2 linked regions of the Mytilus edulis genome follow. The protein of the gene in region 1 purifies or fractionates together with the protein of each later gene. This does not show direct contact. Links are inferred from orthologs where the notes say so. Each region holds a gene or a part of one and is shown on either strand. Other genes may lie near its edges.

Region 1 (3,759 bases):
GAAAAAAAATATCACTCGCTCCATATTTCTTTAAAATTTGAGGCGAAGAATTTAAAAATATAAATTTAAATTTCGCTCGCTCGCCCCATTTTTTTTTGGGTAAAATCTCAAAGAACTATTAATTAATTTGGTGTGGCCTCAACTTCAGCTTTATTCAAACATTTACAATAGAGATACAAATTATAGACACATACAACCACAGACACTTCATAATAACAACTCCTTTCACTGGAACTATGAGGTAAACTACAGAAAATATCTTTACTTACCTTCATTAAATTCTTCTTCATCATTATGCCTGGGGAAAGGAAAGCAATTTGTGATTTCCAACTTGTTGTCGACGACTAGACCTAACAAGACACCCTGGACCAAATCTGTTCCACCAGCTGCTTCCTCTTGACAATGTTTAACTATCTTCAATACAACCTACAATGTAACATAGTAAAATATATGTATGTGAACGTGTTCTTGACAATGCTTAACTATCTTCAATACACCCTAAAATGTAAAATAGTAAAATATATGTATGTGAACGTGTTCTTGACAATGCTTAACTATCTTCAATACACCCTAAAATGTAAAATAGTAAAATATATGTATGTGAACGTGTTCTTGACAATGCTTAACTATCTTCAATACACCCTAAAATGCAACAAAGTAAAATATATGAATGTATTCTCAGTTGGTCCATCTCACACATACATCCCAATGAATGTTATAAATCTGTGCAGGAAACAAAAGGATATATCAACTTCGTAATAAAGAACTCAGTCATCAGATCAGAAAAGTCATTCAAATTCTTGTGCATTCTTCTAGACCAAATTCTTCTGTCCCTATAATGCATATATTTACTAATTTACATTCGCTTTTTATTGATTTTGCTATTTTCTATTTTTTTTTGTGTGCAATATACATGTATAGAGACAGAAAGCAGTTCCAATCCAAAACAGGAGATCGTGGACAATTTGTTTGCACTAATTTTTCGCTTATTTTGTATAAATTTGTCAGATATCCGTACCAATACACACTGGTAGATAAACATTTTTTTCAACATTTTCATGTGCCTTTTTAGAATCAACAACCTTTATATGTCAAGATAATCCACTTTTTTCAACATTTAATACATTCTACTTTTAATCTAATCAAGTTTGGCAGAATCTGTTTGACATATTGAACTATTTCGACCAATCAACACTGATTTCCGGTAACATGATTCTTCTACCTTCTTGCATATGAATAGCAAATTAGGTTATAATTAGATATCATAGTTAGTCATAAAGGAAGATAGAAGATCCTAGTAACCGGAAATCAACATTGGATGGTCGAAATAGTTCAAGATGTCAAACTTCTGTCAAACTTGATGAGATTAAAAGTAGAATGTTTTGAATATTAACCATTTGATGCTTGATGGTAAAGGCATTCTTCTTCTACCCGTTACGAGTCTAACTATGTAATAAAGTGTAATTGAATGGGGCACATCTCAAACAGACAGGAGGCCACTCATACCACAGGAGTTTGAAATCCTATCAATAAGGGGGTCAAAATATACCAAAGTCGACTATCACAGTAGAGCTTCTCTCGAAGAGAGAGAGAAGCTCTACTGTGGTAGTCGACTTTGGTATATTTTGACCCCCTTATTGATAGGATTTCAAACTCCTGTGCTCATACACTCTTTCAACTATGTTGATTTCTTTGAATAATCAGAGGCAACCAATTGGATTTAAACAACTAACACTTAAGTGCCAGGTGTATCAATATAAGTACATTGTCAGAATTTACAGAAATATAAAATGTATTTGTACTGGCTACAAAATAGAATGTCACACTCTGGGAAGCCTGGCTTATTTTGATTTGTAACATACATAGCAGTCTATGAAAAAAAAACAGAGGAGAAGCGTTTCTAATAGTCGACTTTATTATTTACAGACTTTTATCATATTTATTGACAGAAATTTATCATGAATTTCCTGTGGCACTACAAACGATGTGAGACTAATGTAATTGCGTCGCCAGATTAGAAGGTACCTATTCAAAGCTTTATTGAAAAGCTAAATAGTTATATTTAATGAGCATACACTAATTATTGAAATCTATTAATTAGAACACGTACAAGACCATCAATTTGAACATATTGTACAGGAGAACTCGTGTGTTTTCTGGAAGCCATCTTGGAAAAGGAGAGTCCGGGTTAATGAAACGCTTTCTGGACAATCTCAAAACATATTTTATTTATTCCTATACACAAACTCGCCCCAAATAATATTTCGTCCTTTGAGTACTAGTGTCAAAATTGTGGCGTTAACCATTATAGAACCGAATAATTTAAATGTATTGTTGTACAATATTTCTTGGAAAAGAAAAAAATGTCGATAAAATAAAAAAAAAGAACAATTATAATTCGTTTTTTTTTCATTCTGTCGATCTTGTACAAAACATGTTTGAGGGGATAATATACTGCTGGGCTAGCAATCTCCGGCGCAGAGCTCACATCCGTTCCGTACTTACTACGTATCACTACACTAAGTCATTGTATTGTAGTGTACTAAGTCACTGTGTCTAAACCACACCGGCAAAATTTGATCGGACTCGATGGTATCTAACATCCGGCACAATGACGGAACATCAATAGACAGAAGAAAGATAGGTTTCTCCTTATTTTCTTATTTTTTAATGATATCGAAGAATATATATACATATACAACTATTTTCTATTGTGATATGCAATATTTTCTACAACCGTTCTATATTAACGAAGAAATAAGTAAAAATGCATGTCAAAATAACGAATTGAGTGAACCTTGCCTCAAAATTGTTTAATTTTTCGTTAAATTGTTCACATTGTACGGAAAGAAAGATACGGGAAGATGCAGAAGTTAAGATTTATATTACTAAGAAGTGTGTAAAGTTTGATGCAATAATGATAAATCGTTTTGAGATATGGCGCGACATGTTAAAAAAAACCACACTCCTGTTTTACTTACAAAGTTCTGTAACTCAATAAGATTTCATTTGATTTTTACTAAAAGGTTTATAGTTCGTTTGACCATTTCAAGAAATAACTTTGTTAAGTTTCATGAAAACTAGATAAGCTGTTCTCAAGTTACGGTGCGACATGTTTACGCTGGACGGAAAGATAGACGGACGGACGGACGGACAGAATGACTGATAGATGGAGGAACGGACGGATGGAAGGAAGGAAGAACAGATGGACGGACGGATGTATACAAAATAATACGTCCTGTCAAAATTTTGACGGGCGTGTAAAAACGCAATGAAATGGAAAAAAAACCTCTTAATTAAAGGTCAAAAGTTTTATTAGGATATCGACCAAGTCGATTTATTTGTATATCTTCTTGACTTCCTAAGTCATTTTTGCTATATGCCTTATATATATATTTTTGAAAATAATAATTTCTATCTATTATTTCATTATTGAAAAAAATTAAATTAAAGAATTCCAAACAAAATTACACCGTTCTTGAATTTAAAAACAATGTGTAACAACTGAAAATTTCAAATTTCACGAACCGGATCGGACATAGCTTCACTGACGTTTTTTTCTCAATAAAACAAATAAGACATATTATTTATATTTAAGTGTACATGTCACAAATGCTTAAATGGTCGCAATTCAATTTATGGTGAAGGTCTGTGGCCGAAGGAAAAATAATATAGAAAATGAGGTCAAGGGCAAGGGCAATGGACATATGACAAATAGGGAAAAAAATCGTTAGATCTGTGTTTCATACTTGTATATGT
Region 2 (3,759 bases), on another chromosome or scaffold:
AACAATGCTGCAATGCTTTAGACAACATTGGTCTAGAGACTTCATGATTTACATGTATAAAGCTTTTAAATGTAAAAAAAAAAAAAAATCCCTACCTACCTACCCACCTGCTGATAGTGTGGGTCGGCAATGCCAAACAAACAATTTTTTAAGGGTGGCCTTGGTTTTTGAGTTATAAGCCAAAAACTGCATTTTACCCCTATGTTCTATTTTTAGCCATGGCAGCCATCTTGGTTGGTTGGCAGGGTCACGCCACACATTTTTCAAACTAGATACCCCAATGATGATTGTGGCCAAGTTTGGTTAAATTTGGCCCAGTAGTTTCAGAGGAGAAGATTTTTGTAAAAGTTAACGACGACGGACGACGACCACGGATCACGACGTTGGACGCCAAGTGATGGGAAAAGCTCACTTGGCCCTTTGGGCAAGGTGAGCTAATAATTGAGTGACATTCATTTAAACATTTTTAGAAATACATTGTACATGTTGTACATCTGAAGAGAGATTTTTCTAAGGCAGCAACCATTAGATTTTCAGGGGGAGCTATGGATTTTTTTTCTGGACAAACTTTTTTTTCTCCGCCTAATCTATTTTTTTCACGACAAGTCGAAAACAATTTTTTTATTCTAATTTTAGCATTACATATAGTGGCATCTGAGGGGGAAACAAACAATTTTTTTTTCTAAAAAACCCCAAAGCCTTTATATGAATATAGTTTTTGTCTCCATAAAAGGCGACTAACTGTCCTTGTCACTTTTTGGTCTTTGGCTTGTCTTGACATTTTGTAAACATGCCTTCAGCGAATTGTTGTTTTGTTTTATCAATTTATGATACTCTCTACTGTTATTGTTGTCATCGTGATGAAGTTATAATAATACAAGAAGTGCAGAGGAAATGCCAGAAACGTCCTTTAATACGGAACGTCGGGAATAAGGATGGTATCGACGAAGACCCAAATTTAATGTAAATAAAACCATGAACATGAACAAGACAACAGTACCAGTAGGAACATTGTAAATAAAGGTTATCTTAAATATTGTCTGGTTTGGAAGAAGTTATTTTACATTCTTTGAAATTGAAATAACAAAATCACAGGCACAATATCCATGATATTATTTAGAATCATAAAGGTAAGTACCACCATCTCTTTGCCGAGATATACACTTTTTAATTTTTTTTCACTGTAGTCAATTCAAATGGCCCATTCATTTGACAACATGGCCCATTATTTTTTAAAATGGCCCCTTGAATTTAATTTTGAGGGGCCCTGGGCCCATAGAGAAAAAATCCTTCCAGATCACTGCCCCCCCCCCCCCTCCAGAAAATCAAATGGTTGCTGCCTAATATCTACATCTTCGCTAGCCAAGGGTTACGATCCACTCCCGTTCTCTTCACCCTTGGCGGATTGAGATAATATTTCGGAGACACAAGGTAAGGATTTTTATTGGTTGCAGTAGAAACTCGCTGCATCCAATCATAAGCGCCTGTAACATGATCACGTGTAAATGTAGAAAGTGATCGTAAACAATTGCCACGTGTTTATTGTGCAACAAGCCTTTACATCACTAAGCATACGACTATATTTAGTGACAACTTGAATGTTTTTAATCAACTAATAGAAGTTCCTGTGTATGTTTCATGCACAAATGCATGAATGTTGACGTATATTTTACGGCTGTACCAAGTGGGTAGAATCTAGACGCTACCGTGTTTTTACCTCCTAAATGAAGAGTTCAAGTGCTACCATTGGTCAAGAATAATGTATTCGGAATGGGCGTGACTTTAATCTTCCGATAGATGGCGCAACATGGATTCAACAAATGTTGGCTCAATCTGCCAAGGGTGAAGAGAACGGGAGTGGATCGTAACCCTTGGTTAGCGAAGATGAATATCTAATTTTATTTATGAAAATATAAATATATTACTTTTATGCTCAAAATCTATATCTAAGGAGCCAATACGAAATAACATTTTAATGATGTAAAGTTAAATTAAGACGTAAAATAAATCAACTGGTATATTAATAAAAAAAAAACAGTGCGAACAGACCCAAGGAGCAAACATACAGGGTGTTAATGTGTTCTGGGAAGGAATGCAGAACTATAGAACCCAGACCTACCAAATAATGCATGGGGATCGTACCACATGAATTGAATTCTTAGCAATGAAGGTGTATAATTGTGCCTAACTTGACTATCACAGTAGAGCTTCTTTCGAGTTTGGCAGAATTATACACCTTTATCGCCAAGTCTTTCAATCTCCTGTGATCGTCCCCTTAAAGGGATTTCCCAAAACTGTCCATGTACACTTGGATCACAGGGGTTTGTTACAATTACAATGTTTACAAATTATCCATACGAACCCCATTTTTAGGGGTTCGTATGAACCCCATTTTTAGGGGTTCGTATGGGTAGTAAACCCGACAATTGTAACAAACCCCTGTGCTTGGATCATATTGTCTAAGTGGAGATTAAATAAATGTGTTTCTGGCTATTAATCAATAAAACAACCATGCTAGTCTTATAGTGACTGCAGATCTTGTTTGACATGTCAACAAAAAACGAAAGGACACGTCCAACGTTCATAACCACATGGTACTGTCAGACAGTGTTTCAGAGCAAGATCGGTGAAATTTAATGAAATACACCGCATAACGGGATAATTTAAGGATGATTTGTGAAATGTTTGTGACATTATGGCTTTAAAAAGGGGTCTGAATGTTTTTCTTTTCTCGGCACATGTTTCTTTACCCTGTGCCGCCATTTTGCAGTGAATAAATAAAACCTTATTTTTCATTTCGATCAAATTAAAACTTGTTATAAATTATAATGACAGATAGTTTATCTTAATAATTTTGTGATAAAATATTTATTGATAGTTTTATGCATAAAAGATGAATAACATTGACTTTTTTCTTTATTAATACGAACTTCCGTTTGATGCGGAGTTTCACATTCGTCGCATCCGTCCACAATCCACAACTTGCTGTCCGATCTTTTTTTGCAGAAAACATGGTAATTACAAGACGGTGTATATTGAGTTAAAACTAGCACTCGAGGAAAAATAAACTTTAAGTTACAGTGACGTAGGCCTGTGCATTTTAAATGCTCAATTTGTCTTGTCACGGTCATGTCATACAGTCAATTTTTGGAAAGTTTGCTATAGCTTGCTATTGCTACTTTCCTTAGCCGTCGGCCTCAAACTTCCGGTTGACAGATTATCGCAATATATTCTGCTCCGAGATAGTGTAGTACTAGTGTTTGAGTTATGATTCTTGGAAGATTCTTTTAAAATTTTGAGTAACTACTGTATTGACTGAAAAGATAACAGCTTGAATAAAAAGAAATGAATATTCACCGACGATTCAGATGAATTTAACTTCATTTTAAAAATGAGTATTACAAACACTACTTCGCGGATCTGCCATGCGCTATAGAGAAAATCACAAGAAATCTACGCGAGATTACGTTTTCATTCATTCATGAATATTTCATGAATGAACATTTCCCCGCTCTACTTTTACCTGTTTACTATATGTACGTACGTAAACGTGGTAAAATCCCGAGTGTATCGAAAGAATCGAGAATGACTGATTAAAATGCGAGAACAAGTTGACATTTTGACCAAGCCGTCGGATAATTGAAAAGTGATAATGGTTTGTTTAAACAAAACACAGTTGAAAGAATATAAAATACACGAGTAAAGGTAAATACCGGCTTTGATAAAAAATAAAAATTTAAAAATGCCGTGATTGTTTTT

The links.
Region 2: the proteins of eukaryotic translation initiation factor 3 subunit H-A-like (region 1) and eukaryotic translation initiation factor 4B-like purify together in Homo sapiens (affinity purification with mass spectrometry; 3 studies listed by BioGRID and IntAct, with this or other methods). This does not show direct contact. The link is inferred for Mytilus edulis from reciprocal best matches to the Homo sapiens genes EIF3H and EIF4B.

What each region holds. Positions count from the first base shown.
Region 1 is NC_092353.1:8,920,511-8,924,269, forward strand, and holds the start of eukaryotic translation initiation factor 3 subunit H-A-like, read right to left. Parts: upstream 2,243-3,759; 5' UTR 2,168-2,242; coding exon 2,111-2,167; intron 427-2,110; coding exon 270-426; intron 1-269.
Region 2 is NC_092345.1:41,815,183-41,818,941, reverse strand, and holds the start of eukaryotic translation initiation factor 4B-like, read right to left. Parts: upstream 2,778-3,759; 5' UTR 2,764-2,777; coding exon 2,751-2,763; intron 1-2,750. Other genes in the region: leucine zipper transcription factor-like protein 1, read left to right, coding at 3,012-3,014. UniProt on the Homo sapiens protein: Required for the binding of mRNA to ribosomes. Functions in close association with EIF4-F and EIF4-A. Binds near the 5'-terminal cap of mRNA in presence of EIF-4F and ATP.